4 linked regions of the Styela clava genome follow. The main gene of each other region encodes a partner of the protein of the gene in region 4 in a complex. Links are inferred from orthologs where the notes say so. Each region holds a gene or a part of one and is shown on either strand. Other genes may lie near its edges. The genes, in order: splicing factor 3B subunit 2-like, ATP-dependent RNA helicase DDX42-like, splicing factor 3B subunit 4-like and splicing factor 3B subunit 5-like.

Region 1 (8,116 bases), on a different chromosome or scaffold from region 4:
TCGTGAATCTGATTAACAAGTCAAGCAAAACCCTTTTTGCTTTTCTTCACAGGAGAATAATTGCTCATAATAAAATGGATTCAAGTAAAGTATTGATGAAAAGTGCCCTTGGATCAATTTGATATTATTTGTATATATATTATTTGAATAAATCTCAAATAAGAGATGAAACACATTACATAATCAAATAAAATGGAACAAAAAAAATACAAATTTTTTGTGCCGATTGTATTCAGAATGCATCCACGGAGCCGAGCATATCGGCAGCGGTGGAATTTTTATATGCGTGTGTGTAGTTACCTGCATATTCAGTACTCATAGTTTTTGTGTATGACCTCAGTAACGATAAGTCAATCGCAAGCTATTTTGAATATTTTAGTCGACCATGGCCGAAAAAAGGTTGGCCCCCCCTGGTGTATATTATCCAACATTAATTCCAACACATATGTAAAACCATTCAATAACCTACTCAATTTCAACATCTTTTTCTTGTTTCACTGCATCAATCTCTCCTTTCTCTGCGGGAGGTTGAGCATCTTTTGTTATCTCCTTCTCTTCTTTTTCTTTCTTCTTTTGTACATTTCTTCTCTTCTTCTTTTCTTTTTTCTTTCTGTTTTTGAGAGCTTTACGAGCTTGTTCAGCAACTTCTGATTTAGTAAGTGGGAGATTACCGGGTTTGGTATCTTCAACATACTGCTTCGTAATTTCTGCTTTTATTTCCTCGAGTCGCCTGAAAAAATATTAAAATATGAAAGTCTTGGAAGTAGCATTATTTAGTCACACAGAGGCATGCAGAAAGATTAACATTTTCTGTCTCCTTGCATGAAGTAACCTCGACCAGGGCTTTCCAAACTGGGGGTCGCGACCCCGCATGGTGGTGCGCATTGAATTTAAGGGTTCAAACCTATTTCACCAATTACACACAAAGTAGGCTACCATATCTATTGTACTTTTTTAGAATTTTGATTTGAAACACAATTATTAAAAACTGGTGCAAAACTTAAATTTCATGATTTCGAGAGAATACATAGGATCAAAAAAGCGACACGCTTATATAATAATGCAGGCTTTAATCGTAAGAACCGAGGAGCGGTGCGCTTGCGTAACAATGCCGACTTAACAGGGGTCACAGGAAATTTTCGCGAGCTCAAAAGTTTGGGTAGCCTAAGCCCCTGATCAAAATTTTCTCTCATTATATTGATTAAAAGTGATGGAGATTCTGGTTTTTGAAAATGTACTGGATTGTGAATTCAATATGAATTGTAGTGTATTTGCGATAATTGCATCACCATTTATCAAAAGTCAAGTCAAAATTTTGAATTTCTTGTAAGTCCAAATTCGGAATTCCAGACTTGATAATGGTTATAATTAAAGACAAAATTTTAGAAAGAAACTCAAATAAATTATGTTCAACACTGTCCTTAACATTCTGTTAATTAAGAAAGACCAAAGTTTTTAACAAAATAGGATTATCTCAAGTCTTAAATTTTCATTAACTTAGAGTCAAAATCGGGAGAATTTTTGAAATCTTGCAGGCGTCGCTGGTTGTAAAGTCCCAGACTTGTACATATCTTATAAAGACATTTTCAAACCAACAACATTTCTAAATACCTTTTTTGTTCAGACATTGTTGTTTCATTTGCTGGTTCTGTTGCTTTTTCGAGTTCCAATTTTCCTTCCATTGCCTTTTTGACTTCTTCATTCGAAACTCCAACCTATTTCAAATTAAATAGAAACTATTACAGGATATTTCGAGGTATAACAATGTAAACACAAATATATTTTTTGAAAGCAGGTTCAAATTCAACAGTAGTAGTAGTCGAACTTTTTCTAAGTTGAATTGGTTAAAGATCATATTAGTTAAAATGCTTTATATGGCTTCAATTCTGAACAAGCAGCCATTTCTAAGCAAGAAGGTCCTATTTTCGATAAGATCTTCCCAGTTTGGCAGTCTTTACCCAATTTATTAGTGACATGAATTTTAAACCCAGTTCTGGCCTGCAATGCCAACATTCTTACGTTCAATACTTTAACCACTATGTTATCTATTAAACAACACACAATAAAAATACCTCTTTTGCTCTTTCATCTTTGTAGGCAAGCATTTTTTCCAGTGCAGCTGGCAACCTGAAATCTCTTCCTTTTTTGCCTGATTTTTCATCTTCTTTCAACCTTCTTTCGAAATCCTTAGTTGGTTCCACACGACGTCCCATAAGAGGTTGGGGAGAACCACGTCGAGGAGCACGTTCTGATATTTATAAAAGGATTTGAAATAAAACTTGTATTCTTATATAAAATTTTCACTAATCTACCAATAAATACACACCAAGCACACAACACCAGTTAGCTTAGCTCCATATTATTATTCCATTATTCAATGACAGATTAACAAAAACTTCAGCAGCATATTACGACATAAATACATACCATCATACATCTCTGGTTCTCCTCTATACTCATCATGATTGTCAAATCCACTAGGTCCCGAAGGTCCCTCGAACCCGCCAGGTGGCCCATCAAATCCACCAGGGCCTGATGGACCTGACCCAGGGGGTCCATCAAAGCTACCAGGAGGCCCGTCAAAACCTCCAGGTGGGCCATCAAAACCACCAGGTGGGCCATCAAATCCACCAGGTGGACCATCAAAATGTCTCGGTGGCGGGCCATCAAAACTTCCTGGGGGACCATCAAAGCGATTCGGGGGCCCAGGTGGGCCATCAAAATTACCAGGAGGTCCAGATGGCCCGTCAAACCTATCACGAGGTGGCATGTTATTGAAGCGATCAGGGAAAGGAGGTCTATCAAATCCTCCAGGACCTCCTCGCATATCTTCACCATCCTGAAAATAAATTTATTTCTGAACAGATAGTGTTTCACTCTAAAATTATTACATCGTCAAAAAGAATGAATGAAAGTTATAGCAATATGACAAGTTGTAGTAAATCCAATTTGATACTTACATTTGGATGGGGTCTTCTGTTCATTCTGTCATTGAAGCCAATATTATCTGGTCCACCTGTAATTGGAAGAAAACTTGCTATTAAAATTATATATTCAATAGAATTCGCTAAACAAGGGTTGTTTTTTTGTTGATTTTTATTGTGCTATGTAATCGCAATCAACATTAATTACCAATTTAATTTGAAAAAAGAAATCTTACCTTGCATCATTGGACCCATATTCATCGGAAGTGGCACATTGTGACCCATCATATTTGTGGGCCCCGGAGGGGGTGGGGGTCCTGATGAGCCTCCCATCATAGGTGGTCCATGAGGCAATGATCCCATCATTGGAGGGGGTGGAGGGGGAGGTTGGATGTCATTGTTTGACATGGTTTATACAATGCTGTTGCTGCAAACTACTTTATGCCTCTACCTATCTACTTTATATAAATCTGTAAATCAAAGAAGATTGAGATAAATGGTTAAGCTGGGAAACTGTGATGCAAAAATTATGTTAGAGGAATTGTAGTCTTCACGTTCACTGCTTTTTTTAAATCCTGAAAAAAAAATTAAAGAAGGAATTCAATATTTTAAAACATTGGGTTTTCGGACTTTGTTTATTTGATTTCGGATTAATCTAATCCAGTAGGGGCACAGTTCTTCGATTCCAAGACACCTCGATACCCCCGACATTCAGTTCAATGAAGCGAACACTTTATTTGTCTCTGAAACGAGGTCATTGACTGTAAAAAAAAAAACTTTCTTGACTGTTTGACTTTCTTTTCATCCAAATTACAGAATTAACATAAATATTACTTATTTTATTTTATAAATACTCATTGTCTAAGACAGGGGTGTGCAACCTTCAATACAGTAGGGCCAGATAGTAATAACTACTGAACTAGGTGAAACCGTGGGTTGCACCTTAACATGGGCTATCTAGTAGCTGCAGGCACAAAAATTTTGGTTATTGATCTTGTGACATACATTGTTTGCACAAGCTAACTGTTAAGTCATGGAATAGATAATAAATTGGACTCAAGAATACTCGCACATACCATACCGGTATTGAATAAAATAAAAAACGTTTCGCGGGCCGCACATCATTAAAAATTGGCACTTCTCCGCGGGCCACACAATTTTTCCTAGAGGGCCGCATTTGGCACCCGGGCTGCAAGTTACACACTCCTGGTCCTGGTCTAAGATATCATCATCATGATTTTACTTTAGTACTTGTCTCAATACAAAAATAAAGTTTATCAACTTTTTGAACTCTAGCGGCATTGCAAGCTCATGATGATTGCCATAATTCTCTGGTCCTGCCAGCACTCAATTCATATGATCTATTAACACCATACAGCTGTACAGCCTTAACTTGCAGTACGGGTATTAACTTTTAAATGGGTCTTACTACTTACTGAATACAGTGCGAAACACCGCATAGAGCGCAAAACAGTGCAAAATAGCGCGAAACAGCGAAAAACAGAAGGAAACCAGCGCAAAACAGAGGGAAACAGCGGAAAACAGGAGACGCAGTCATTACCACCTCCTGCCACGAAAGAACCACGGCGCCTCTCGCCATGGTTTTATTGCGCTATTTCCGGTATATTTACAAGGTTATGTACCGGATTATAGGTCATCATGCGAAATTTTATCTACCTTTCTGGTGCTCCAGAAGTATGTGCAGCAATATGTCGCACAACCTGAATCCGCTACACACACACATACTATTTTCAGGTTGTGCGCCATCTTGGTGCACATACTTCTGGAGGTCCCTTTTTATCTAACCCTAACCCTAAAGCCAACCATATCCATATGAAAAATGTTCTAAATTATGGTACCCAAAATGTGTCTCAATAGCAGGGGCAGACCTGCCATTACAGCATTACTGGCTACATACGTTGGTTTGTGTTTTTAATTTGCTGCCGTGGTACTCCAACTCAAAACAAGGTGCCCCGAACTCATTGCAAAAAATTTTTCTGCTTCACACTGTTTCCCTCTGTTTTGCGCTCTTTCGCGCTGTTTTCCCACTGTTTTGCGCTGTTTCCCTCTGTTTTGCGCTGTTTTGCGGTGTTTCGCGCTGTATTCAGTAACTAGTAAGACCGCTTTTAAATTGCTGACTTCAGGAGTCAGGACTTACACATGTTGACTACATACTGTACCGTTCTGGTACCACTGTACCGGTATTTCCATTCTCGCATATAATGATCAACCAATTAGTATTGAAATTTTTTTTTTTCTGTTTTTGAATCAAATATATCTTTTAGTGTTGGCATTGTTTGTGATAATAAAATCCCTCTCTCTCTCTCTTTGCAGTGAAGGAACGAAAAGGGAAATAATGAGACGCAATTACAGAACTACGCAGAACTATAAAAAAAAAAAAAAAAGAGACGCAATGAACCCGTCCTCCTAAGCAGCAAGGATCTGGCGTTGCGCAGATCAAGTAATATCTGAATATACCTGTATAGTGTATACTGTATACCAAAGTGACTATCACTTTGCTGTATAGGCTACATAGCTTTTTTTTTTTTTTTTTGTGCCAAATAAATTCCAATGCCAAATGGAATTTTCGTATTAATATTTTGGTATCAAATCATTTTATTATAAATATATAAATTGATAGTTTTTTGTTTCCATGTTTTTGTTTATCGTTTTTCAATTTAATCCCATTCCCCCCAATACATCTGTACATAGGCTAAATAGTAAAAATAAAAATAAAGACAAAATTCATACCATTACCATGATGTCATTAATTTAATATAATCCAATATCTGAATATATGTCCAAAAAAGTTGAGTTAATCCCCATGTAATCTACTCAGCAGTTAGTTGAATATAATTTTAATTTACAGGTAATCTGTTTTTTTTTTTTTTGCTAGTTAGCATGAAAAATACAAGAATACAAAAATTAGACAGAGAATATGGAAAAATCCACGCTTTCATATTGGGTTTTTCCCATTCGCCATCTAGGCCTATGTTTCATAGTCGAAACCTCATCCTCTTTTGAGAATGATGTACAAATAACATACTTTCAATAATTTTCAGAGTATGGTGTTGCATATAAACTTACATCATGATTGACCTATGTAAAAGATCATCCATGCACCATGTGCTCATATAACAATAATTTCCACCTATTTCATCATATTTTACTGAATTTCGATATTCCCAAATTGTTGATTTTCCGCATATTATTGTGATTAATTTTGATTTGCATTCCGAATCGTTTGCTATAATAGTATTTTGATTAATATCTATGCAACACTACACTATGCAACACATACCGTATCTAGGCTACATAGCTATAAGCTAAGCGTGTATTATACGTCGACGTACATCAAAGTTTACTGAATATGGACCTTTCCCCGACCTTTGACCCCCAAAAAATTCTTCCCATACTCTACCATTGCAAAATTTTCGGGGCTATTTTAAGAATGCTTTTGCGAGTTGGCGCCTGTAAAATAAGGTATGTTTTTCAAACCATCATTATGATTCATCGCATACAACAATCCGTTTTTTAAAAGTACCGGTGAAGAATTTTAGCCTAGTCTAGCACAGCTATTTCTACGCTGATTTTTTATTACTGCAATTAAATTAAAACTCCTAGGAAGACAGAGTGATCAGAGCCATTATGCTCTGGAGTGATCATTGAAATATCTGATCCATACTTAAGTTTCCGAAACACAACTGAAAACTAACGAATAGAGTTCAAAAACGCGAAAACGAGGTGATGTTTACGACCACGCTTGAAAATCTGTCTGAGTGAGAAAAGTGTCCGAGCGGGCGTGAAAAGGGAACATTGTTACGTCACTTTTTGCATCTTGCTGATTGGCCAATGTCATGAAGTAAACAAGGAAGTCGATGCTTGAGGAAAGGTCCATAGTTCGTGCACAGTGGTTCGTGAGTCACTTCACAGTGGTTTCGCAGTTCGCTCACGGCCGGTTCGCCACGCATGACTGATGCGTTTCTACGTCGTCAGTTTGCGATACTTTGAAGCCTACCAATGAGCATATATACAATGAGTGGAAACTTGCAAAGATTTGCTCATTTTGGTATTGTTCCCTGCATTTTTACGTCGTCCAGCTAAATGGTTCGTTGCATATTAAGAAAACGCATTGCTCGCTGCCAAAATCCCTTGCTTCAGCCGAGTCGGGTGCGAAATTGGCCGTATTGAGGTCTGTAATTCTTCAATACATATTTGGTTTTGGGTTTCGAAGTATGGTACGCTGAAAGCATACAACTATGAGCATATGCTTATTGAGAATGCATATCTATTATTAGGCAGAAAACGTATCTACAGAACAGAATATGAACCAGTCGCCTAGAGGGGTGCGGTTATTTATGTATTTATTCATTGATATAACATGGGATTTACATATTTATCCATGGGAGAGGAAAGCCGAGAAGAATGCCTAAATATATGGCGAACCACGGCCTCTCACAATCATAGCTCTGTCCTCCATATGAATCACATGGCTCTGCGAGCTATTCGTTTACCTATTAAAAATACTGATTTTAACTATAAATTACTCTGGGATATCTTGCCTTTGAAAACAAAAGCCAGAAATTGGAAGAAAATCAGGGAATGAAACGTGTGTATTATGTAATGGAGAACCTGAGTTTGTTTCACATATTTTCATGTATTGTAAATTACAAAAAATATTTATGAAGAATTTGTTTTAGATATATTAAAATTGATTAGAATACATTTTGTTATCAATATGATTCTTGCATATCATTTAATTTTAACGATCCTTTATATAGTCATAAAGATACTGTTGATTTGGATGCAATTATACTTTTGTTATCAATAGTGAGAAATATTTCAGGACTGCTATTAACTATGTGAGCTATTTTTTCTGCAATTCAAAATACATCTTGCGTCTGCTATTTACTATGTGAATTAATTTTTCTGCAATGTAAAGTATTTCCATAACTGCTTTTACTATGTGGGCTGTTTTTTCGGTACTCTTGTAGTATGTGTACCAGGTTAGGTTACGATTCTCCTTATTTTTGTTCTATTAAAAGTTCGGGAATTGTCTGTGTTACACAAGTGAATATCCCCTACCGATAGAATTTAGTCCATTTACACAACTTGATATAAAATAGGCGAACAAAATTAGTTACCTTCATATTGGTACACATACTTCTGGAGCACCATTTTTTTGTAATGTA
Region 2 (8,328 bases), on a different chromosome or scaffold from region 4:
TCACCTACATTTTCTATAGATAAGCATAGAGCGATGCCTATGGCCTGTTTTACAGTAAGCCATGGTACAAACTGCTAAATTTAACATTCTTTGTCAGATCTTAGATGTTTTGTACATCCATCCTCTACCATACCTCAGCGACCCCATGACCTGTTTGCGACCCTACCTACTTATCACTCCGACCCAATTTGTGATTGTGACCTGTGGTTTGGCAACCCCTGGTATACTTAATACAATACTTTATTTGATACTACCAAACAAGTATATACTCAGATACCTGATATTCAAAACCCATTTCAAACATCCTATCTGCTTCATCAAATACGAGGTAAGTTACTCTTCGCATGTTAGTGTAATTCTTCTGAACATGGTCGATAATTCTACCAGGAGTTGCAACTACAATCTCTGATCCTTCAGCAAGTGATTTTTGTTGTTCCCACATACTACCACCACCATAACAGGCTGTTGATCTTACTCCATAAATCTTAAAAGAAATGGAGGAATGAACAGTCTAAATGACGAGTAGTGTAGAAGGATAAAATACAAATAATTTTAGGCACTCCAGAAGTGCAATATGGAGGTAACTAATTTTGTTCGCCTACTTTACATCAAGTTGTGTAAAGAGATGAAAGCCTATGGGCAGGGGATATATACACTTGGCTAACACAGACAGTACCCGAACTCGTAATAGAACTAAAATAAGGAAAATCAGAATAAAATTATGGCCTAACCTGGTACACACACTACGGAAGTACCTAATTTTATTGTAAGTTTTCATTTCAGATATACAAAAATATGGTATCTCATTACTTTCAGATAACTCTAGTACCAAACCCATGTTGTTTTGGAACTAACAAAGATATCAAGCAACAACAATAAATAATAAACAAGAGAGCGATGAGCGATGCAAATATATGAACAAGAAGGCAACAAACCCCATCAGTAATATAAATACCGTACCTTGCCAAATCTTTTTACTTCAGCATGTATCTGTTGACAAAGTTCTCTTGTTGGTGCCACAATAAGTGCAATTGGTCCATCACCTTCTTCAAGTACAGGTTGATCCAGTACATGAGACAACATGGGCCAAACAAAAGCCGCTGTTTTACCAGAACCAGTTTTGGCAATACCAATTACATCCCTGCCTGACAATGCACTTGGTGTGCCTTGAGCTTGAATTGGCGTGGGGGAGGTATATTCCATTTTCCTTCGAAAGAATATTATATCATTTATCGAATAATTACTTATCGATTTAAATCGGTAAGTATGTTGATAGGTATTTGTCTGTCTGTATGTCTGTTAGATACACGCCATATCTCACGAAAGCGAGATTGAGTCTGCTCTAGATTTTGCATGTGAATTCATCTTATCTCGGACCAGAAGCCTATTGATTTAGGGCAAATTATGTCGAATAATTAGCGAGTTATTAATTAATTAGTGATGGGACACAAGGTGTCACTATGGAGTAAGAGCGCTGTTTTGGGGGATCCCCTAACTTTCGATCGATAAGTCTTCGGTCTCTGACCGATATTCTCGTTCTAATTTTAGCATAAATTCGTAACATAGTGATCACACCGGAGCATATTTGGGTAGCAAAGTTTAAGGTTTGCCGTTTCCCTTCAAATCAAGCATTTTTTAATCTGCATTTACACTATGTATTTATGGTAATGCTCAAGCTAAAAGAAGAAAGATTAGCATATACATTTCTAACTATCCTAGAAAATGCAAACTCACCTTATAACTTTCATCAGTTTTTCATCAAATCCGAAATGAGCAAAACTTGTTACAGGCTTTGGTGGAAAGAAACCGGAAACTTGGATCCCAAGTTTCCCTCGTAACATGGAAACTTCTGAATCTGTAAGTCTTTTAATATCATCATGCTCAACATAAAAGTTTTTCTCAAAAGTTTTATACTCAATTTCAGAGTGATAAATCATTGGTAATGGATCAATCATCTTTCTATCTTTCTGTGTTCCAGGAATTGGATTTCCATCTTCATCATATTCAACTGGATCATCAGCATCCAGAAACATTTTCCCTGCGGAAGAAAAATGTGACAGGTTTGTAAAACGAACAATATTACATCATTCCACTGCCTCATTTTCATACTTGATCAATTTCACATAATAGAGATGATCTCATAAAGATTATGTTTAAAGAATATCATATAAACTGTTACTCAAATATGATCTCTTTTTTCTACTAACACAAAAAGAATATCCAATAAATTTTCAAAGATAATTTAGCATCTACCTGCATCAGGATTTTCTTCAATATATTTATAATAGGATTCTTCATCATCCATTGTCTCTAAATCATCTCTGACACCTTTGATTGTATCTCGCTTTTGTACGGAATCCTTTTTGTCCTGCTTTTTGACCTTAAAAATAACAAACGGCTCAGCCATTAAGGTTGAAGTTATGAATACACCAATAACTAGATTTAAACTTGAGCATGGTCTCTTCAAGATAGTAACATTAACATATCATCATTGCAAAATGAAAAGAAAAAATAACCTCATTTTCAATGTTAGCCATGAATGCATCAAGAGGATCTTCTTCTTCACTTTCTTCTTCTTCTTGTTTTTTGATCATGTCCTTATGGCAAACATTAAAATTCATTAATACATATACTACGACTAGAGTGCTATTTATATAACCTTTTCATTCCATTTTTGCAAAGTTATTTTTATAATAAAACAGGACATTTTTATACTTTTACTTATTACTTTTTATACTGCAATTATGCAGCAGTGGCAGTGTAATGTTTATTTTTTTCATATGATATATACATGACACACATTTGACCACTTCTTCATCATTTTTTTCAAGACTTGCGCTTGACATGTAGCCTAACTTTAACTCAAAACAGCGCTGTAATATCAGAATATGTAGGGTTGGGTCCACCAAGTTTACCTGCTTCTCTTCTTCTGATAAAAATGGACATCCAGCCAAAATATCACGTTGCTTTTGTCTATTATCTTGCTGCTCATCGTCATCATTGAAGTATTCATCTTCACCCTCCTAAAAATTCAATGTTGTTTAAATCTGACTTTATACCAAATATAAAACTGTTTTTGAAACAGTTTGCCCTAGAGTGCCATATACATAGAACTAGGCTAGCCTACTTATATTACAATATTAATCTTACTCACACTCAATCTCCGCTTGGATCCGATTTTGTATGACGTGTTTCCTCTAGACGAGCCAGTCATATCAAAACCTTGAAACCCATACTTTTTATTTCCTCCACTCATTCTCTTGGCACCTTTGACACAAAAATTAGACAATGGAGCAACGCCTGGCTAGGACACTGCCTTGCGATAATCCGCAGAATTTTCCAACCAAGTCTGTGTGTTAATCGATGATGCTGGTGCTATGGTTTACTTATAATTTACATTGCTCTGCAGCGCAACTGCGCGGTTATGTTCGGGTGACCAGGCGTTCCTCCCACAGAGATATATAAAGTGTGCTTCTCTCTCATTTTAGCGGGACCAATAGAAGCCTCCCTCGTTTAGGCGATAGACTTCCAACTTTTGCGTAGCGCGTAATGCATTTCTTAGGAAATTTGACAGAAATCATAATTTGCTTTGATTTTTCTCACCTATTCGCCTGATCTTGGATTGTTTATTATTATTAAATATGAGACGCTAATAGATCACAGTTCAGTGGTTTCTCCGGGTGAATGGACTTTTCCCCGACCTTTGACTTCCCAAAATTCTTCCCACACTCTTCCTATATACCAGCGTTCCCCAAACTGTGTTCCGCGGAACACTAGTGTTCCGCGAGCAACTTCGAAGTGTTCGGTGGAAAAGGAATCAAAAATACGTCTCAAATGGTCGCTATGGAGATTTGTCGATTCCCAAATTAGGGGCCGCGCATCGAATTTTAGGGGCCGCAAAAAGAACACCAACTTTACAAAACATCAAAAATGCATCTTTCGAACTGTTTAGCATTGTTAACGTGGACAAGGTCCGCGAAAAAAAATTATATATCCAAAAGGGGCCGCGAGTTTGGGGAGCCCTGATCTTTGAAACGTGAAGTTGTCGCCCAACTGACCGTTCAATATCGCGTCACCGTCGCCCTAACTGGGAAAGGGTAGTGGCGTTTTCGATAAGTCATATAAATTACGTACGTACAAAAATACGTCGGCCTAGCTTTTAGACTGTTATTCATTCATAAGTTCATTATCAAGTTTACAACAATCTTTTTGGTTTTTCTATAGGCAAACGTGTAGGTCTAAAGAATAAAGGCAAAAGGGTCAACTCTTCTTCCTCCGTATCAGCCTGGTTTTACTTTAAAATGCTGAAAAAATCACTCATTTTCGCTAAACTCTATTAAGTTGATAAATAAACTGCGGCGAAATTGCAGCAAGTACTTATACTCCCATTAGACGTAACATTAGAGGCAAACACTACGTAATGAAAAGTAAATGACATAAATGGTAAAGTGAATTTATTGATTCATATTAAATTAAGAAAACTTTTATAACATTGGCAACATGTAAAATATTCAAGCATATTTTAAGTATGTTTAACACAATTCTGTTAGTTTTCCCCGCGCATTTGACAACTTTTACTTTATCAATTTTACTCTTTTATTTTTTTGGTGTTCCGCGAGGCGAGATAAAACGTGGAAGTGTTCCGTGGCCGAAAAAGTTTGGGAAACGCTGCTATATACCATTGCGAAAATTCCGGGGCTTATTTTAAGAGTAGTTTCGCGAGTTGGCGAGCACCGGTAAAGAATATCAGCCTAGTCTATCACAGCTATTTCTACACCAATTTTTGATTACTGCAATTAAATTGAAACTTTTAAGAAGACAAAATGATCATTGAATTATCTGATTTATATTTAAATTTTCAAAACACAACTGAACACTAACGAATAGAATTCAAAAACGTTTAAACGAGGTAATGTTTGTATCTTGCTGATTGGCCAATGGCGACTTCGTTAATTGCGCCTTCTTTTATTCAATTACATTTACGTACAATAATGAATAGATACGTTAACTCACTAACGCTACTGCAAGAGTTGCAAAGCACTTCTAGAAAACACTCTCAGCTCAAGAATTTCGTTGTCAAGCGGAAATCGCTACAAAGAATGGATCAAAGTCATTTTACGAGAACAAGATCTAGAAGCTAGGTAGGCTGACCTTAAAAGATTAGGTCATAGTAGTAGCGTCATGACTAGACCCAAGTTTTTTGCGATATCAAGTTAACATGTCATTGTGTAGTTATAGAATTTTAAGTTGTTTGAAGAAGAGAATTGTTAGATTATGTAACATGGGTAATAGTTTTCTGCAATCTTTTCTCTAGCCCAGTGCTCCGCAACCTTTTTTTTAACTTGCGGCACACTTATAAATCTTGCCAAATTTGACGGTACACCACAACAAACGAAAAAAACAAAGTGTAACTTTGTTTTTAGGTTCATATTTCAATGAGAGATTTGTGGTTGTTTTAATGAGCACAATACATAAAAGAGCAACTCGAAGTTCGCCGTCAACATCCTTTATACAGTATCGTTTATCGTTTTTGATCAGTAATAAAGAGGAAAAGCTTTGTTCGCACACATAAGTTGTGCAAAACTGGAGCAATATTTCAATAGCTGCATTGGAAATGTGCTTATATTCTTCTTTTATTGAAATCCAAGACACATCAAGTGGAATTTCGCTGAAATTCAGTCTTAGCGTTCTGTAATTTCTTACTTCAAAGAAATTTTCTCGAATACGCAGGGGTAATTCTTTCGTTAAGCTCAAGTTTTATTCATATTCGATTACTACACGACTACACGTGCTATGTTTTAGCCTCGACAATAGGCTTTACCAAAGCGTGTATATAATATGGGCTTCACAATATATCTGCTTGACATATAGGCCTATTCCTTTTTACGTCACAAATGCACAGTGGGGGGAGTAAGGAATTTGAATTGGTGTCGCTCAAGCTAACGTAAAAGCAGGTTAACTTTACGTTAGTAGAGTAGTAGACTAACGTAAAATTAACAAAGGATAAAAAAAAATTGTAAAAAGAAGAGAAAAGTGGCAATTCCTGTGCGGCACACCTGGCATCGTCTCGCGGCAAACCGGTGCGCCGCGGCACACCGGTTGCGGAGCACTGCTCTAGCCCAGTGTTTCCCAACCCGAGTCCGCGGCCTCAAATGAGTCCGCAATGAGCCAGAAATTCACAGGGGCCGCACTCAAATATTAGAATAGCAATTTACTATTCGAAAATTTGGTAATACGTGACGCGACAGTTCACTTGCGCGTCGCTTGCGGAAACGAAAACGTCGATAGATACCTAAGTGGTGTTTCTCGCGAGTTCGAACAACGAGGAATAAATATTTTTTCTGTTAGGTGTAAATGGTGACAACCGAAATTTTCTAAATTGAAAAGCGGCGATGCAAAATACTAAAAATAAAATGGAGAACACGATAAGTTTTGTTTTATGATGGTCCTCGACCGATTAAAATGCTTTTTTACGCATTGCAAATCGCAAAATTTCTGGTGCTACCGTAGTTTACGTACCAGGGCATTTTCCCGTAGGATTCTTTTCTTTACTCCACATCGGTACGTATAGTACTGGAGCGCCGTAAGTGTTGTACAAACAGCTCAGATTTGTCGAATTTACGAAAATACGAATCAAAACTAAATATAATTCGGCACTTTACCACACATTTTTGTGTGCACGGATTGTCATGATATTTTCTCATTAGTATTGCTAAAAGGATCACAAATATGGATGGATTGAATATTTTATCCAACAGAAAAAATTATAGAAAAGTCGGCTCTTTAACGAGTGACGTATACCCGACGATTACTTCAGAAGTTGTTCCGCGAGAATTTCAAGGCGATAAATATTTAGGTTTGATTTACTAATATACTAAATATAAATCTATTTTTAATAAGTACTAAATTAAGTTGTCCATTCTGGAAATTTATAGCAGATAGTAGGATTTTTCTAACGGCGATAACAAAATCGCAAGATCGCAGAAAATATGTATCAAAACTGAATATAATCGGGCAATATATTCTCACATTATTATGTTCGCAGATCATCTTGTCGTAAGTCGAGTAGTCGACCGCATCTGCGAGTTACTATGGACGCAATTGAATTAAAATAGAAAGTTATTTTAAATTCTCGTCGTTGTCATGGATTGAATATTGTGTCACAGAAAAGTTCATTACACACTAAAAAAGTGGGCTTTTTAACGAACGCGTAATTGCGGCAAATTTCCGATTTTGAAATTCGTTAAATTTCTGTTGTGTTTGGTTTTATCGCTTCTTCACAAAGAGTACGGTTGCAATAAACGCACCTTGAGTCCGCAAAGGTTTTCGCGGGTGAGAAAATGGTTGGGAAATGCTGTCTTAGCCTGTTGAAAACAGAGTTATCTTCTAAAATTTAGATGTACATGCTGTTTGTGGGTTAGCCAAATTCTGCAGGTACTTGAAAAACGATAGCGTAAAGCGTTATGTGATATTTTGCGGGTAATTCTAAAATCATTGCATGTTGGACGATCTCCTAAAAACTGCTTTTCAAAATTGCAAAAACCTCATATTATTTTATATTAAATTATTCTAATTTTCGTGGGGGATTACGTGCTGACATCTTTAGGAGCATATTGCCATAGTACAGCTACAGCGAAATGTGGAAGAAATAAGAATCCCTTTAGACTTCAACCGAAGAGACATTTCTAACACGCTGTTATATTAGTAGAATTTAAATATTCTTCCTCTCAAATATTTTAATCGAATGACAGTTGTACACAAAAGGTTGAGCCTTGTAGACTTAAGCTATTGAAAATTGTGTTGAAGTCCACTGAATAGGAGAAATAGCCTACTCAAGATTACAATCTGATACTCGACCAAAATAATCACAAATTGCGAATTTACCATAATTCTTTATTTCAATAGATATCAAGAAACCACATCATTTTTTTCCCTCAAATTCGAATTGCGTCTCATAAGTTTTCGCTTATTCATTGCGTCATTGTTGATCTTATTAGTGATGTGTCTTTCTGATCCGGTGATAGCAACTGGATCTAGCGTAAGAGATTTTCTCATAGCTTCTGTAATGTCATGACGAATAATAGAACCCAGGGGAGGTCTGAGTTTTATCCGTTTATCTGAAAACGCACGAGATTTTAGACCCAAATATCCTGCTGTTTTTTCAAATAGCCAGTGCAGCGCGAGAGTCTCAACTTGATGAGCCTCCTCCTTCGTCGCTTCATTTTTAGCGAAAAACAAAGCATCCGATAAAACAGTGGCGTAAAGATTAGTGTAAAGCGTCAATGTGAAAAAGGCAAAAAGACAAAAGTAAATGCTCCACCACATTTC
Region 3 (6,720 bases), on a different chromosome or scaffold from region 4:
TATAATCGAGAGTTTAATACGGCTTCTGTGACATTAAAAACAATTACTGTTTTACGTTTTTATATATTTGCAACTTTTTGAATAACGCAAAAAAATTCGTTGGCTGACTACCGGCGTGTTGAATATTGAAGGATTTTTATTGTAACATTCGTTTAACGATGCTTTTAAGCCTAACTTTGGGCATATCAGCTACCTGATGTCATTCGCCGAGCGAATTTTGTTTAGGTGACATTGCCATCTCGTATTTACCATCCTGTAGCCATTCTTCTTATTTAGGAACTACGTGTTTTACAGTTAGCTGTTACAGCATGAAATAATGTACACATAATTCTACGTAAACTATCCATGAAATCCATTCCATAAACTATCCATGAAAAGATATTACAGTCAGATCTTCAGGTTGTAAAAAATATTATACAACAGCAACAGCAAGTGATCGAATATCTTTATTATAGCCGTGGTTGAACACCGCTGGTTGTCAATATAGATTTTGCACAGGCTTTTATACATTTTGTGAACGGTAAATTATGTTCTATTAGGGGATAATGTGACTTGGATACGTATTATAAAAGATTCTCTGCGACATAAGTCAATTGTTTCTGTTATGTAGTTTATATGAAGTCGTAGGCCAAATTACATTATTAAAATCGTCGTCCGATAACAATTAAAACTGGAATTTTGAACTAATATTGCCAGAAGACAAATTAGGTTGTTTATAACGATGCGATTGTTACTACCTGGGTAATATATTACGTCGAAATGTTTATAACAAATTAGAAGAAGTTTTGAATCAATTTCAAGGGTTCCGAACATTACTATAAAGATGTCGTCTGAATAACTAATATTCCCTACAGATCTGTCAAATTTCAACCCGTATTTAAATAATACATATGTCATACTTTTGAATTAATAAAAATAAACAACACAATGTCATTCAAACTTTACAATATTCAAATAGTTTTGCAAAAGCGTGATTGGTTTAATTAAATACCGATTTCCGGATGTAAATACTGATGATAAAAGTTTAATTCCATTTATGCTAAGGGGAGCTCTCATACAAACATTGACTTTTCCAAAATAATGCAATAGGGAAACAACATATGAAAAAAAAATAAAAATTATAGAGATATGGCAACTACCATTGACAAAACCAAAAAATCAGGCACTTTTTAAACTTGCCACATTCCTACCAGTGATAGATCTTCTAGTTTTGGACAATAAAAATACCAAATTCAGTCATACAAAATATGTATATTTGGATTTTCGGATTTAAAGTAATCAAAAACATCGGGAAATAGTTTTTTACAAAGTGCCTGAAATTTCACAAGTGCCTGATTTTAGTATTTTGTGCTTGCGGTTGTCAGATTTTATCATTCCTATTAAATTTCAAATAAATCCAAAAAGTACGATGGTTATCTATATGTTGTCAAATGATATTGCTCATTGCATTATTAAAAACGCTGAAATTGTTGTAGAACTAGGAATTTCCTTTAAAAAGCAATGATTAGTAAGTTCTGACTCAAATAATTTAGAAAAATTGTTGCGAAAATATATGGCAACTGTTATCGAAAAAAATAAAAAATCAGGCACTTGCGAAATTTGACCCCTCATCACCAGTCCCAATCGTTTTTGATTTTTACCAAAAAGACGTCATTTCAATCATACAAAAGAGTGTGTATTTTAGTTTTCTGCTTCAAAGTAAGTAAAAACATTGAGAAATAGATTTTTACAAAGTGCCTGAAATTTCACAAGTGCCTGGTTTTAGTATTTTGTGCTTGAGGTTGCCAAATTTTATCATTCATATTCAATTTCAAATAAATCCAGAAAGTACGATGGTTGACCATATGTTGTCAAATGGTATTGCTCATTGCAATATTAAAAACGCTCAAAATGTTGTGAAACAATGAATTTGCGTTAGAAAGCAAAGTATAGTAAGTGCTGATGCAAAGTATTTAGAAAAATTGTTGCGAAAATATATGGCAACTGTTATCGAAAACAATGAAAAATCAGGCACTTGCGAAATTTGACCCCTCATCACCAGTCCCAATCGTTTTTGTTTTTTACCAAAAAGACGTCATTTCAATCATACAAAAGAGTGTATATTTTAGTTTTCTGCTTCAAAGTAAGTAAAAACACCGAGAAATTGGTTTTTATCAAGTGCCTGAAATTTCACTAGTGCCTGGTTTTAGTATTTGTGCTTGTGGTTGCCAGATTTTATCATTCATAATCAATTTTAAATAAATCCAGAAAGTACGATGGTTGACCATATATTGTCAAATGGTATTGCTCATTGCATTATTAAAAACGCTCAAATTGTTGTGGAACAATGAATTTGCGTTAGAAAGCAAAGAATAGTAAGTGCTGACGCAAATAATTGCTAAAAACAATGGCAACTGTCACCAAGAAAAATGAAAAATCAGGCACTTGCGAAATATGACACGTCTCCATCAGTCACAAACGGTATTGTATTTTACCAAAATATTGTAAATTCAACCATACAAAGTGTATATATTTAATTTTCTGCTTTAGAGTAATCAGATACATTGTAAACTAGGTTTTGACCAAGTGCCTGAAATTTCACAAGTGCCTGATTTCTATATTTTGTAATCAATGTTGCCACATTTTACTATTGAAGAATTATTTATACCCTAATAAATTGGAAATAATATTGTTTTATTGCAATATAGGGATGCAAAAAATTATTTAAAGTCTAATTATCTTGTCAGGTAAATTGGAAACCCCAATGACGTACGGTAAAAATAAAAAATATCAAAGTGCCTGAAATGGTGCCTGAAAAAGTGCCTGAATTCGCAAGTGCCTGGTTTTAGCTACAGGAGTGGTGACTCCTCTACGGCCCATGGGCCGGGGCCACGGCCCATCTAATTGGGCCACATGGGCCGTGGCCCATCAAGCTATGGGCCGCGGCCCCATCAGGAAAATTTCAATTATCTTACCAAAATTTTCAATTTTTACAAAACTGTCAATATTCGAACAAAAAAATATACTCCTGTAGTATGTGTACCAGGTTAGGGTTAGGACAAAAAAAAATTCAGATTTTTTACATTATAGTTCTATTATGAGTTCGGGGACTGTCTGTGTTAGCCAAGTGAATAGTCCCTTTACACAACTTGATGGGCCGCGGCCCATAGCCTGATGGGCCGAGGCCCAATTCGATGGGCCGTGGCCCCGGCCCATGGGCCGCAGAGGAGTCACCACTTCCACTCGGTTTTAGGGAGACCCGATAATTTATAAACGTTTAAAAATTGTCAGGAGGTGAAAACACAAGGCGAATTTCCATCAGCTCTGTTAAGCCCAGTAAAGTTTAACATTTAGCCTACTTTGGTTAACCAAATAAACTACATCTGAAGGCGGCATAAATAACATGAGATATTATGATTCAAAACTAATGAAAAATTAAATAGAAAACCATCGTAACATTGATTATTCCATTGATAAACAAACAAAGATTTTGGGTCTGTAACTTTTCATGCGATTTGAAAACCTTCTAGATATGTCCTACACTTTCTGCAGTTTAATATTTCAATTAGCCAAGATACAATTTTGCCTTATTTTCAACTAATTTGTGGAATTACTGTACTGTAGTGGTGATACTGATATTCAGATATTGTAGTTATTAGCCCATCTGTCAAATAATATTATTATATACATGATTCCGTTGTTAACAAATTTAAAATATTTTTCACCAATGTTTATGCATCTAGAATTCTGAAATGATCACCATTCTTAGCACATTTCCATATGCAATTTTGTGTTTTTTAACTGTTGAGCAGTAGGCTATCACTCCCATCTAATATTTTCCAAATTCAAATATAACTTTATTCTAATTCAAAAACTGTTTTTAATTAGCAGGATTAGCCCCCAGTTATAACCACTACTTTCCCAGGTTTGTAATAAATTTAGTATGTGGAATCGGCGAGATTCTGGTTCTTTCAAAAGTAGCGTCTTGAGTATCATCTTTGAAGTGGAGTTTTAAAAAAAGTTTTATGTCATTGTATTCTGCATTGGTCCTATTTATGATTTTTTGTGTTAGGATTCAACTTACCTATGTTGCGAGTATTAAAAAGTATACGCCATAAGTGCTTAAATAACGCCAAACAAAAATGTGATGTGAAAGTACAGAAGTAAATGATGTAACTGCTAACATAACGCCAAACAAAATTTATTTTCATGAAACAACAGTCAGTCTCGAAGAATTCTATACACTATTTGCTGATTTTGCAAGGGACATACCTGCTTAGTTTAAGATTGTGTGTGTTTAATTTTAACTAAACACGTCTATGGGCAACTTCATTGCGCACATCACATTTCTGTTTGGGGTTATTTAATCAGCTTCACTTTTTTGTTTCGTGTGATTTAAGGAGTTACGGCGTTTACTTCGCTGGACCCTATTTTGCCATGTCATAATGTTTCAATTGCTTATGTAATAACAGATAGTTAATTATAATACTATAAATTTTTAAGAATATAGGCCAATGGCGGCAGGTCCTATTTCTGAACGCAATCAAGATGCGACTGTTTATGTCGGCGGACTGGATGATAAAGTAGCAGAGCCTTTGCTGTGGGAATTATTTTTACAAGCAGGTCCTGTCGTCAGCACACATATGCCAAAAGATCGCATTACAGGAGCACATCAGGGGTATGGGTTTGTTGAATTTCTTGGTGAAGATGATGCTGATTATTCAATTAAAATTTTGAACATGATAAAACTTTTTGGCAAACCTATTCGAGTTAACAAAGCTTCTTCTCATCAGAAGAATTTAGATGTTGGTGCAAATCTTTTCATTGGAAATTTAGATCCAGAAATTGATGAAAAATTATTATATGATACCTTTAGTGCCTTTGGTGTCATTCTACAGACCCCTAAAATTATGCGTGATCCAGATACAGGAAATTCGAAGGGATTTGCTTTTATTAACTTTGCCAGCTTTGAAGCATCTGATGCAGCTTTGGAAGCTATGAATGGACAATATTTATGTAATAGGGCTATCACAATTTCGTACGCATTTAAAAAGGATTCTAAAGGTGAGCGTCATGGCAGTGCAGCTGAAAGATTACTGGCAGTTCAGAATCCTCTTTCTCAGGCAGACAGACCACACACAATGTTTGCAGATGCTCCTGTTATCCCACAGCCTGGTAAAGTAAATTCAATTATGGGTAATGCACCAATGCCAATGGGAATGCCACCTCCACCACCAGGTCCACCAAGCATGATGCCTGGTATGCCTCCAATGCCACCTATGGGTATGGCTCCTATGCCTCCTCCTCCAATGCCACCAGGTGGCCTTTCGCAACCTATGGATGGTATGAATTCACAAATGAATATGCCAATGCCTCCATGGGGACCACCACCCCCTATGGGAATGGGCGGACCGCATGGCATGATGGGCGGCCCACCTCGCGGCCCCCCAATGGGTCCTCCTGCTCCATGGGGTGCTCAAGGTCATTTTCCTCCCATGCCACCTCCCGGTGGACATCTTCCCGGGCCACCTATGCGTGGCCCACCACCGCCTCCAAACATGGATGGAGCAAGATGGAACGAATAACTGGAATCATCACTACCAGAAAAAGGAAATCAATCAAGTTGATATCTTTTGAAGACATTGAAGGATGGGAGATGAACAGTACATTTACATTCCATATTAATTTATGGCTGTAATATAGGCAAACCACAGGGTGGATAAATATATTGTTGTATATTGATTGTCTCGATGACAAATATGTTCATCCCAGTTTGCAAACCTGAAGATGTTCCATCTAAACAAAATTTTGTTCTTGTATCACTATACATGAACACTTTTGCAAAGCCAAATCTCTTAATAAGAATAGTTATGTATTATCTGACTCTGATTGATATTCAAGCCAACTTATCGGTATGCGCCTTGCTTTTTACTTTATGAATATTGTCCCATGAAAATAAGTTTGAAATTGAACAGATTGAAGTGAAGTGAAAATATCTTATGACTTTTTAGTTTGTGGATGCCAAGTGTTTATATTGTTATTGTGTGCATATCACAAGTTATACCATAAACATGCACCTAATTGCTAAGACAGATTTGTAATATTATTTTGGTCTTCTTGGAGGTTGTTTATGCTGTCTTTCAAGAAATCTTTCTTCTCAACTGTTTGAATCATACTATTGAGCCATTTCTTATGTGGAAATAATCTTTTTTAGATTGTAATCATAGTGTTATTGCCTAATTTTTACTTAAAATGGCAACTCTAGTGATGGATCAGTTTTTGATGGATTTAAAACAGGATCGCTTCAAATCGTCTTATGAAACTGTATGTAAAACCATAAATTATCTACGCCATGTAATAAGTGCTGCAAGATTCAGCCATGCAAAAGATTTGATGAAAACTATTCAACAGGTGATTAATTTTTATCAGTATTAGGTTTGTAAGAAATTGTGTTTACAGTGAAAGATATTACACAATTTGATCTTGTATTTTTCAAATTTGTTTATTTTCTATTCAATGTTTTACCACTGATGGAAAACCCAACCAATTTTGAATTCTTATTGGAAATTTGGTACTTTCTATTTTGTGCATTCCTAGTAGCAACAATAACATTTCCCCATTACAATGATACTGTGGTAAACTGCAAAAATGCTATTGCGCAAATATAATAATTGAAAAGAGTGTGAAATGCAAGTTGTTATAACGATAAGAGGAAGATACACAAGTATTTCTAATGATTTT
Region 4 (6,790 bases):
TTGAATTTGTCAATTACTTTAATGATAAAAAAAATATATGATGATTGTCGCATCATTCTCCTTGATCTTGTTGACCAATCCTCAGTTAAAGATTCTTCAAGGCTACAAAATTCATCTGTAACTTTTACAAGAATCTTTTCTTCTTCTTTTTTGCCCTTTTCATCTAGTTTGCTCTTTTTTGCTTCTGGTTCTCCATCAAGATCATACTTTATCTCTTTTTTCACTTCTTCACGCACAAAATCATGCATCCCCAAATCAGCAAAGCAATATCCATAAAATCCGAAAACATCACCACAAAAGAATTTGATTCCAGATGATCTGCATATTAAATTAATTCTTATCCTTTCTTCGAATGGTACCTCCGTTAAACAAACTATATCAAACTCTCGAAAAAAATCATCCGGTTTATCCGAAATTGGCATCTTATCGCATGATACGATTACATTTGGATTGAGCGGCTGTGTTCGGGCCATTGATGCTTCTGCTCTATTTTTTCCCATGTCTAAATGAGTTACAAGAAGCTGAGAACCCATATCAGACTCTGAAACTACTTTGTCATCAAGCATTGTCAAAGCCTTTACACCTGCAAGTACAACATTTTTGACCACCTCAGAAGCAAGTCCACCGATTCCAACAACAAGAACTTTAGCTTGACGAAGACGTTTTTGTGCATCAAGTCCCCACAATCGAATTTGGCGATCATATTGTGCAAACTCCTCGGCAGTAATATCAGCTTCTTTTTCCATCATTACAATGTTGAATATTTGATAGAATTAAGATTTTAAAAGATTACTACCTAAATAAAAAACATTTGCAGTACAATATCATGTTTCAAGAAATGAAGTCGAAGAAAAAATTGACATGAGCATGAATAATATATCGTTCGAATTAGGTGAGACAAGAGAAATGACAAAAATAAAGTTGTTTCAAAAAAAGTTTCCCTGCCTGATCGGGGCTACATTTTGATAAAATAACTCAAAATGAATTGTTTTTAAAGCTGTGCTTAGTGGAGTTGTACTGACAAGAATTACTGATTTGATTCAATCCATTTCAACAATTAAAACATGACAAATTTATAAAACAGGATGGCTTCAAAATTGAAAATTTCGAAACACATTCATCTATAAACGCAAGCCACGATGGATAGATAGCCACAATTATTTAACCTATTACAATAGAAAATATTAGGAACATATCTCTATTTGTAAATCATTTTAATTCTGTAATTATGGACCTACATTTATTAGCAGTTTGGATATGAAAAATAATACTTGATTGAATAAAATAGTTTAATTTCATATGGACTTCTTGTCTAGAGCTTTATTCATAGTGAAATCAAATTAATTTCATCAAGATAGTAATATCATTTCAAATTAAATACAAAGCATTGCAGTATTTCCTGTGAAATATTTCAGTTTTAAACTTCTCAAACAACTAAATATTAAAACTAGTAAGAACATGGCAGTTCATGCTTCATAACACTAGTCAATTTTGAGGTGGGTATGACATGTGTCTCAGATCTGCAGATGTCAGTTTCCAAGCGCTTTCCAATTAAATCACACTTCAATCAACATTTGGACGATCAGGAGGTGGTCCACAAGGTTGGAACATTCTTTCTAACACATTAAATCGAACTCGAGCTCTTGTTTCGTTTTCCGCAATAGCAATGTGACTTAGAAGATCCGGGTGACCAATGTAAGAAGCAAGACTATCACGATGTTGATTTGTCAACCATTCCCATTTTGTAGTGTCAGAGTGTCCAGTACCGACATATTTCGACTGCAAATGCTCCATTTGAGAAAATATATTATATCGATCCCCCATTTTGATTGATATTTTGTCTCTGTACACTCACGAAATACTTATTCTCACTACAAACAACCACCAAATGCCAAAAGAAACCCAAAGTACGGTAATCCTTCCTGGATCTGATCACAAGGTGGTGCACATGTGTCTGTCAATATATTTGTCAAGTCATACTACGTCATTATATCTACATTATTGTGCATAATTTGAGACACGTCTGCAAAGAAGAACTTGTTGTTTGCTGGTTTTTAAAGTTTTCATTGATATTTTGTCAGTTTGTCGTGAGTATTAGGTGTAGTTTTATAATAAGGGATATTCAAAGATGGCGTCTAATGATATTGGAGACTGGTATCGTGGAATACCGAGAATAACTCGTTATTGGTAAGTTACCGGTACGTAAATTTTTTTACCAACTGACTGTAGTTACACTCCAATCAGACAATACAGGTAGGCTACACAGGTACAGTTTACACACAGTCTTTGGGTCCAACAGTCAGGTATTCATTATATAGTACTGTGCCTATCTACCAGTACCTAGCTTCATACCTCATGTACTTCCAACATCGGCGCGGCGGTGTGGCTCAATGGGTTAAGCATTAGGAATACGCTCGCCACCGCACCTCTAATTACTCTGCGTGGGTTCGCATCCCATGCAGAGATGGTTATGTGCGAGAGGATTGCTGGACTCCTCGCCGTCGTTGGGTGGTTCACGTAACCGCTGGTCGGTTACGGCTTCCTCCACCACCAAGTCCATGCTTCCGAAAACAAACAATACAGTATAACTAACTAATCCCATACCCGACTTGGAATGGGACTCTCGTCTAACCGGACGAGAGGCCGTGGTTTGCCATATGGATAAGCCGTCTTATCGGCTTTCCTCTCCCCCGGGATAAATATGTAAATCCTATCCTATCCACTGTAGTACTGATGTTCTGTAATATACCATTATTTTACACACATTCTCTTTTCAGGTTCAGTGCATCAGTTGTAGTTCCACTTGTGGCCAAATTTAACATTATTAATGGAATGCATTTGATCTTGGATTGGTACAGTTTATTCAGTAGATTTCAGGTAATTTGTTATATATTTTAATACTAATTTTTGATGTATAGAAATGTTAAAATATTGACCATAATTATACTTTCTTTCACTCCTTGTTTCAGATATGGCGTCCATTCACTGCTGCTGTTTATTACCCAATAACACCGATGACTGGTTTTCATTATCTCATTATGTTATATTTTTTGTACAGTTATTCAACAAGACTTGAAACTGGTGATTAATTTTCTTACCTAATTTTTTATTACACATCATAATAATCCTTGTTCATCATCTCAATTGTTTTTAGCAGAGGTCACATTTTATATTGCTTTATAAATAATGTTTATTATGACTATTTCTTTTTGGTTCATCCTGGTATATCTTGGTATTACCATTTTGTCGTCTGCTACCAGAAATTATGAAATTAATATTTTAGTTTTATATTTTATCACATGGGAGAGGAAAGCCGATTGGATGACTTAATCACACACGCATTCTTTCTATATTTAATTCATTTATACATTTACATACAGGTATATTTGAAGGGAGACCTGCAGACTATGTTTTCATGCTTGCTTTCACATGGCTTACTACAGTGGTAGGAACTATTTTCATGAATGTAGCCTTGCTCTATACCTGATTGTAGTTGTTGAAATTATAGTAGTAGCCTAACCTTCTTACATTTCTCAAAGCATGAATCGTAAGTGATCTACTTGGCCAAGTATTGAATCACTTTTCGGTTCTGTTCAAATTTACCATATTTCTTATATTCGACAATCGCAATTTATGATGACTGAGTAGTCAATTTATTCTCAAAAAAAGTTGAAAATATCATGTTCCTTATTATTAGGATTTATGCATTCAAATTTTATTGATTATTCAATGTTTCTATGTTTTACATTTTTGGCTTTATTCATGAAAAATTTTAATACATATAAATTCTTGACTTTTTCATTCAAACTTGAAAATTATAATAACTTATTACATTTCATAGGAGCAAATTAAGCCATGCATTTTTTTCATTCTGCCCATCTGAATTAATTTAACCATACCTGTTTTTTTTTAATTCAGGGATTGGCATTGGCTCTGGAAATCAGGGTAAGTTAATTTAATTATGCTTTCATCATTTCAATATGCTTAAAATATCTAGAAGACTAAGACTCACATACTCAGTTTTGGAGTTCATCAAAGTAATCCAACATTATAATGTCACCAGTGCTGAGCATTTATAAGCACGTTAAAAATGATTTTCATTACTTATATATTTATTTTTAGATCATGTTTGATTTACTCATTTTCTCTGCTTTGTACGTTTGGTGTCAAATAAATCGCGATCAAATTGTATCATTCTGGTTTGGAACCAGGTTTAAGGTGAGTTTATTTGTAGAAATTTAGACAATTATAATTGTGTATTGAGTGTCTATTTCATGTTCTGTAAATTTATGATTTCATTCTGACTAAAGATTTTCACACTGTATTCACATAATTTGTACCACTTAAATGTAAATATGCCAATAATATTAAATTGTGCTGTTTGCCTCAAAGCGGCACCATTTTTATACTTGTGGGATAGAATTGCTAGGAGTACTGTAAAAATTTACTCTATTTTCCAGGCCGCTTACTTACCATGGGTTTTGTTTGCATTCAACATGATTATCAGAGGAGGGTAAGTTCTGAATTTTTCATTTCAACTATATTCAAATACTAATTGGTCATACAGAGATATTACATCATTTTGCATTACAGAGGAATGTCGGAACTACTTGGTATATTTGTTGGTCATCTTTACTTCTTTTTGAAATTTAAATATCCTCAAGATTTTGGTGGAAGAGCATTATTGGAAACACCTCAGTTTTTGTGAGTAATGTTTGTTTGTTACGAACATTTGGATGCATTGTCGTCTACCATTTTTATTATCAACTTTTAATGCTTGTGGAATTAAGATTTAAAAATTAGCAGTGTATGAAAAAGGGTATCAGAAATCAGAAACACAAAACGAGTGCAGAATGAATAGTATAACTTGCAGCGAATGATCAATAACTTTTTTTCATTTTTTTGCCACTCTTTATATGACTAAATTGCTAATCTTATTTTATTTACTAGATATAAATACTTTCCCAACATGCGAGGTGCTGTATCAGGGTTTGGTGTTGCACCACAGTCTCGACGTGCTGCACCAGCTGATGATGGTGCTCACAGATGGGGTGGTGCTGGTCAACGGTTGGGCGGAGACTGAGATCTTATTCATGAAAAGAACTTGGTTTATCAAAGATGCGTTCTTGCTTCTATTAGTTGAAAACATGTGTCTATCTGTGAAGCTTAAATAACAAAAACAGTAATTCTACACTCTACTATTTTGGGATTCTGTATTTATCATATATGACAGTAAATGTCAAAAATATTTTGGTGAAACAGACGAATATAAGTCGAAGATAAATTATTACTTGACTGAAAAACTCTAAAAGTTTTCTATATTGCACTATTGTTAAAACCTTGTTTCATTTTGTCTGGTGAATTGCTAATAAAGACGTTTCAGTAATATCTCAATTCTCAATTTCGCAAAAATCTGATTGGCGGGTGCTCGCCATGTGGACAGTTTGCAATCATCATTTTCCATTTTAGCTATTTATTAGTGACAATAGTCTTTAAGTAGCAACGTATTGCAATAGAAATGTTTCAATTTTTCATCTTGTGTCTTTGTTTATGAATAGATCAACAACAAACCTTATTTATTGTCCTGGCTCTGCTATTTCTGATGTTAACTTGGTTTAGAACAATGCATTTTTGAGATAATGACGCCCATGCCATGTTTAACAAAGATTTGAAAATTAACCTCAACAACAATCATTAATTACAGAAGGAAAAATGCAAGAAATTTAACGACTTTTTTCCGGTTGCATATTTTATAATCTGAAATGGTGCCGAGGGGCTGCTCAATATGAGCATCATCAACTTGTTTTTATTATTTTCCTTATTAGTTCTGTTTTACACAAATAGACACAATTAATTAATTCTGTTTTACACAAATAGACGCAGAAAATTTAATGATTCAATTATGATTCCTGTGTCTGTCTTTCATTTTTTCCACGAAAAGTATGACAGTAACGAAGTAGGACAGACTTCGAGCGCAAGGGGTTTGAGCAACCAAACCGGGAGGATAGGATTTACATATTTATCCCGGGGGAGAGGAAAGCCGATAAGACGGCTTATCCATATAGCGAACCGCGGCCTCTCGTCCGGTTACAATTCCAAGTCTGGTATGGGATTAGTTATATTGTTTGTTTTTTCGGAAGCATGGACTTGGTGGTGGAGGAAGCCGTAACCGACCAGCGGTTACGTGAACCACCCAGCGAAGGCGAGGAGTCCAGCAATCCTCTCGCACATAACCATCCCTGCATGGGTTTCGAACCTACGCAGAGTAATTAGAGGTGCGGTGGCGAGCGTATTCCTAACGCTTAGCCCGTTGAGCCACACCGCCGCGCCAGTGGCAGAAAACTGTCTTCCCGTGGTGTCGAAGCTCGACTCGCTGCCTTAACCACAAGGAGTTTGGCATATAATGAAACTTATCGCTGCTCTCGATCAGGAGATTGTTAGTGGTTATCGTGGAGTTGCCCTCCAAAGATATCGCTTAGCAAAGCCCCATACGACAACTAATTGGAGGTAGTTGCGTCCATAGGTCACCATACGCCCCAAAACATCGTCCCTTTAGCTAGGGCAACGACTATTTTTTTTACTTCAAAGCGGGACGCCTTCTGTAACTTTACAGTTTCCGATTTTACTACATAGTCCTACATTTAAAGCCATCCCGGCTGTCTTCATCGAGAGTTCATGCGCATATTTTATGTCTAAATATCGGGTTCAGTGTGAAAAATAGAAAAAAACAGACGCTAACGATACAAATAATCCAAATTTAGATTTTTTCATGTAAAATAGAAGGAATAAA

The links.
Region 1: splicing factor 3B subunit 5-like (region 4) and splicing factor 3B subunit 2-like share a complex: the UniProt entries of both Homo sapiens proteins name them as parts of the SF3B subcomplex of the 17S U2 SnRNP complex. The link is inferred for Styela clava from reciprocal best matches to the Homo sapiens genes SF3B5 and SF3B2.
Region 2: the proteins of splicing factor 3B subunit 5-like (region 4) and ATP-dependent RNA helicase DDX42-like are in contact, whole or in part, in a cryo-EM structure (PDB 7EVN), measured with the Homo sapiens proteins. The link is inferred for Styela clava from reciprocal best matches to the Homo sapiens genes SF3B5 and DDX42. Residues at the interface, in NP_112577.1 of Homo sapiens: Arg4, Tyr5, Thr6, Ser9, Gln10, His13, Leu14; in NP_031398.2 of Homo sapiens: Asp156, Ala159, Tyr160, Phe161, Tyr163, Met164, Asn167.
Region 3: splicing factor 3B subunit 5-like (region 4) and splicing factor 3B subunit 4-like share a complex: the UniProt entries of both Homo sapiens proteins name them as parts of the SF3B subcomplex of the 17S U2 SnRNP complex. The link is inferred for Styela clava from reciprocal best matches to the Homo sapiens genes SF3B5 and SF3B4.

What each region holds. Positions count from the first base shown.
Region 1 is NC_135251.1:20,765,089-20,773,204, forward strand, and holds the start of splicing factor 3B subunit 2-like, read right to left. Parts: upstream 3,410-8,116; 5' UTR 3,333-3,409; coding exon 3,161-3,332; intron 3,017-3,160; coding exon 2,961-3,016; intron 2,840-2,960; coding exon 2,428-2,839; intron 2,249-2,427; coding exon 2,073-2,248; intron 1,716-2,072; coding exon 1,612-1,715; intron 731-1,611; coding exon 470-730; intron 1-469. UniProt on the Homo sapiens protein: Component of the 17S U2 SnRNP complex of the spliceosome, a large ribonucleoprotein complex that removes introns from transcribed pre-mRNAs.
Region 2 is NC_135253.1:14,088,132-14,096,459, forward strand, and holds the start of ATP-dependent RNA helicase DDX42-like, read right to left. Parts: upstream 3,417-8,328; 5' UTR 3,257-3,416; coding exon 3,155-3,256; intron 3,024-3,154; coding exon 2,916-3,023; intron 2,598-2,915; coding exon 2,517-2,597; intron 2,381-2,516; coding exon 2,254-2,380; intron 2,039-2,253; coding exon 1,735-2,038; intron 1,208-1,734; coding exon 961-1,207; intron 485-960; coding exon 278-484; intron 1-277. Other genes in the region: polycystin family receptor for egg jelly-like, read right to left, coding at 7,909-8,328. UniProt on the Homo sapiens protein: ATP-dependent RNA helicase that binds to partially double-stranded RNAs (dsRNAs) in order to unwind RNA secondary structures. Unwinding is promoted in the presence of single-strand binding proteins.
Region 3 is NC_135255.1:4,024,160-4,030,879, forward strand, and holds splicing factor 3B subunit 4-like, read left to right. Parts: upstream 1-4,449; 5' UTR 4,450-4,493; coding exon 4,494-5,564; 3' UTR 5,565-6,194; downstream 6,195-6,720. Other genes in the region: translation initiation factor eIF2B subunit beta-like, read left to right, coding at 6,232-6,390. UniProt on the Homo sapiens protein: Component of the 17S U2 SnRNP complex of the spliceosome, a large ribonucleoprotein complex that removes introns from transcribed pre-mRNAs.
Region 4 is NC_135262.1:19,158,545-19,165,334, forward strand, and holds splicing factor 3B subunit 5-like, read right to left. Parts: upstream 1,912-6,790; 5' UTR 1,825-1,911; coding exon 1,564-1,824; 3' UTR 797-1,563; downstream 1-796. Other genes in the region: SUMO-activating enzyme subunit 1-like, read right to left, coding at 1-749; derlin-1-like, read left to right, coding at 2,129-2,187, 2,778-2,877, 2,970-3,081, 3,381-3,445, 3,919-3,945, 4,123-4,218, 4,461-4,513, 4,594-4,704 and 1 more. UniProt on the Homo sapiens protein: Component of the 17S U2 SnRNP complex of the spliceosome, a large ribonucleoprotein complex that removes introns from transcribed pre-mRNAs.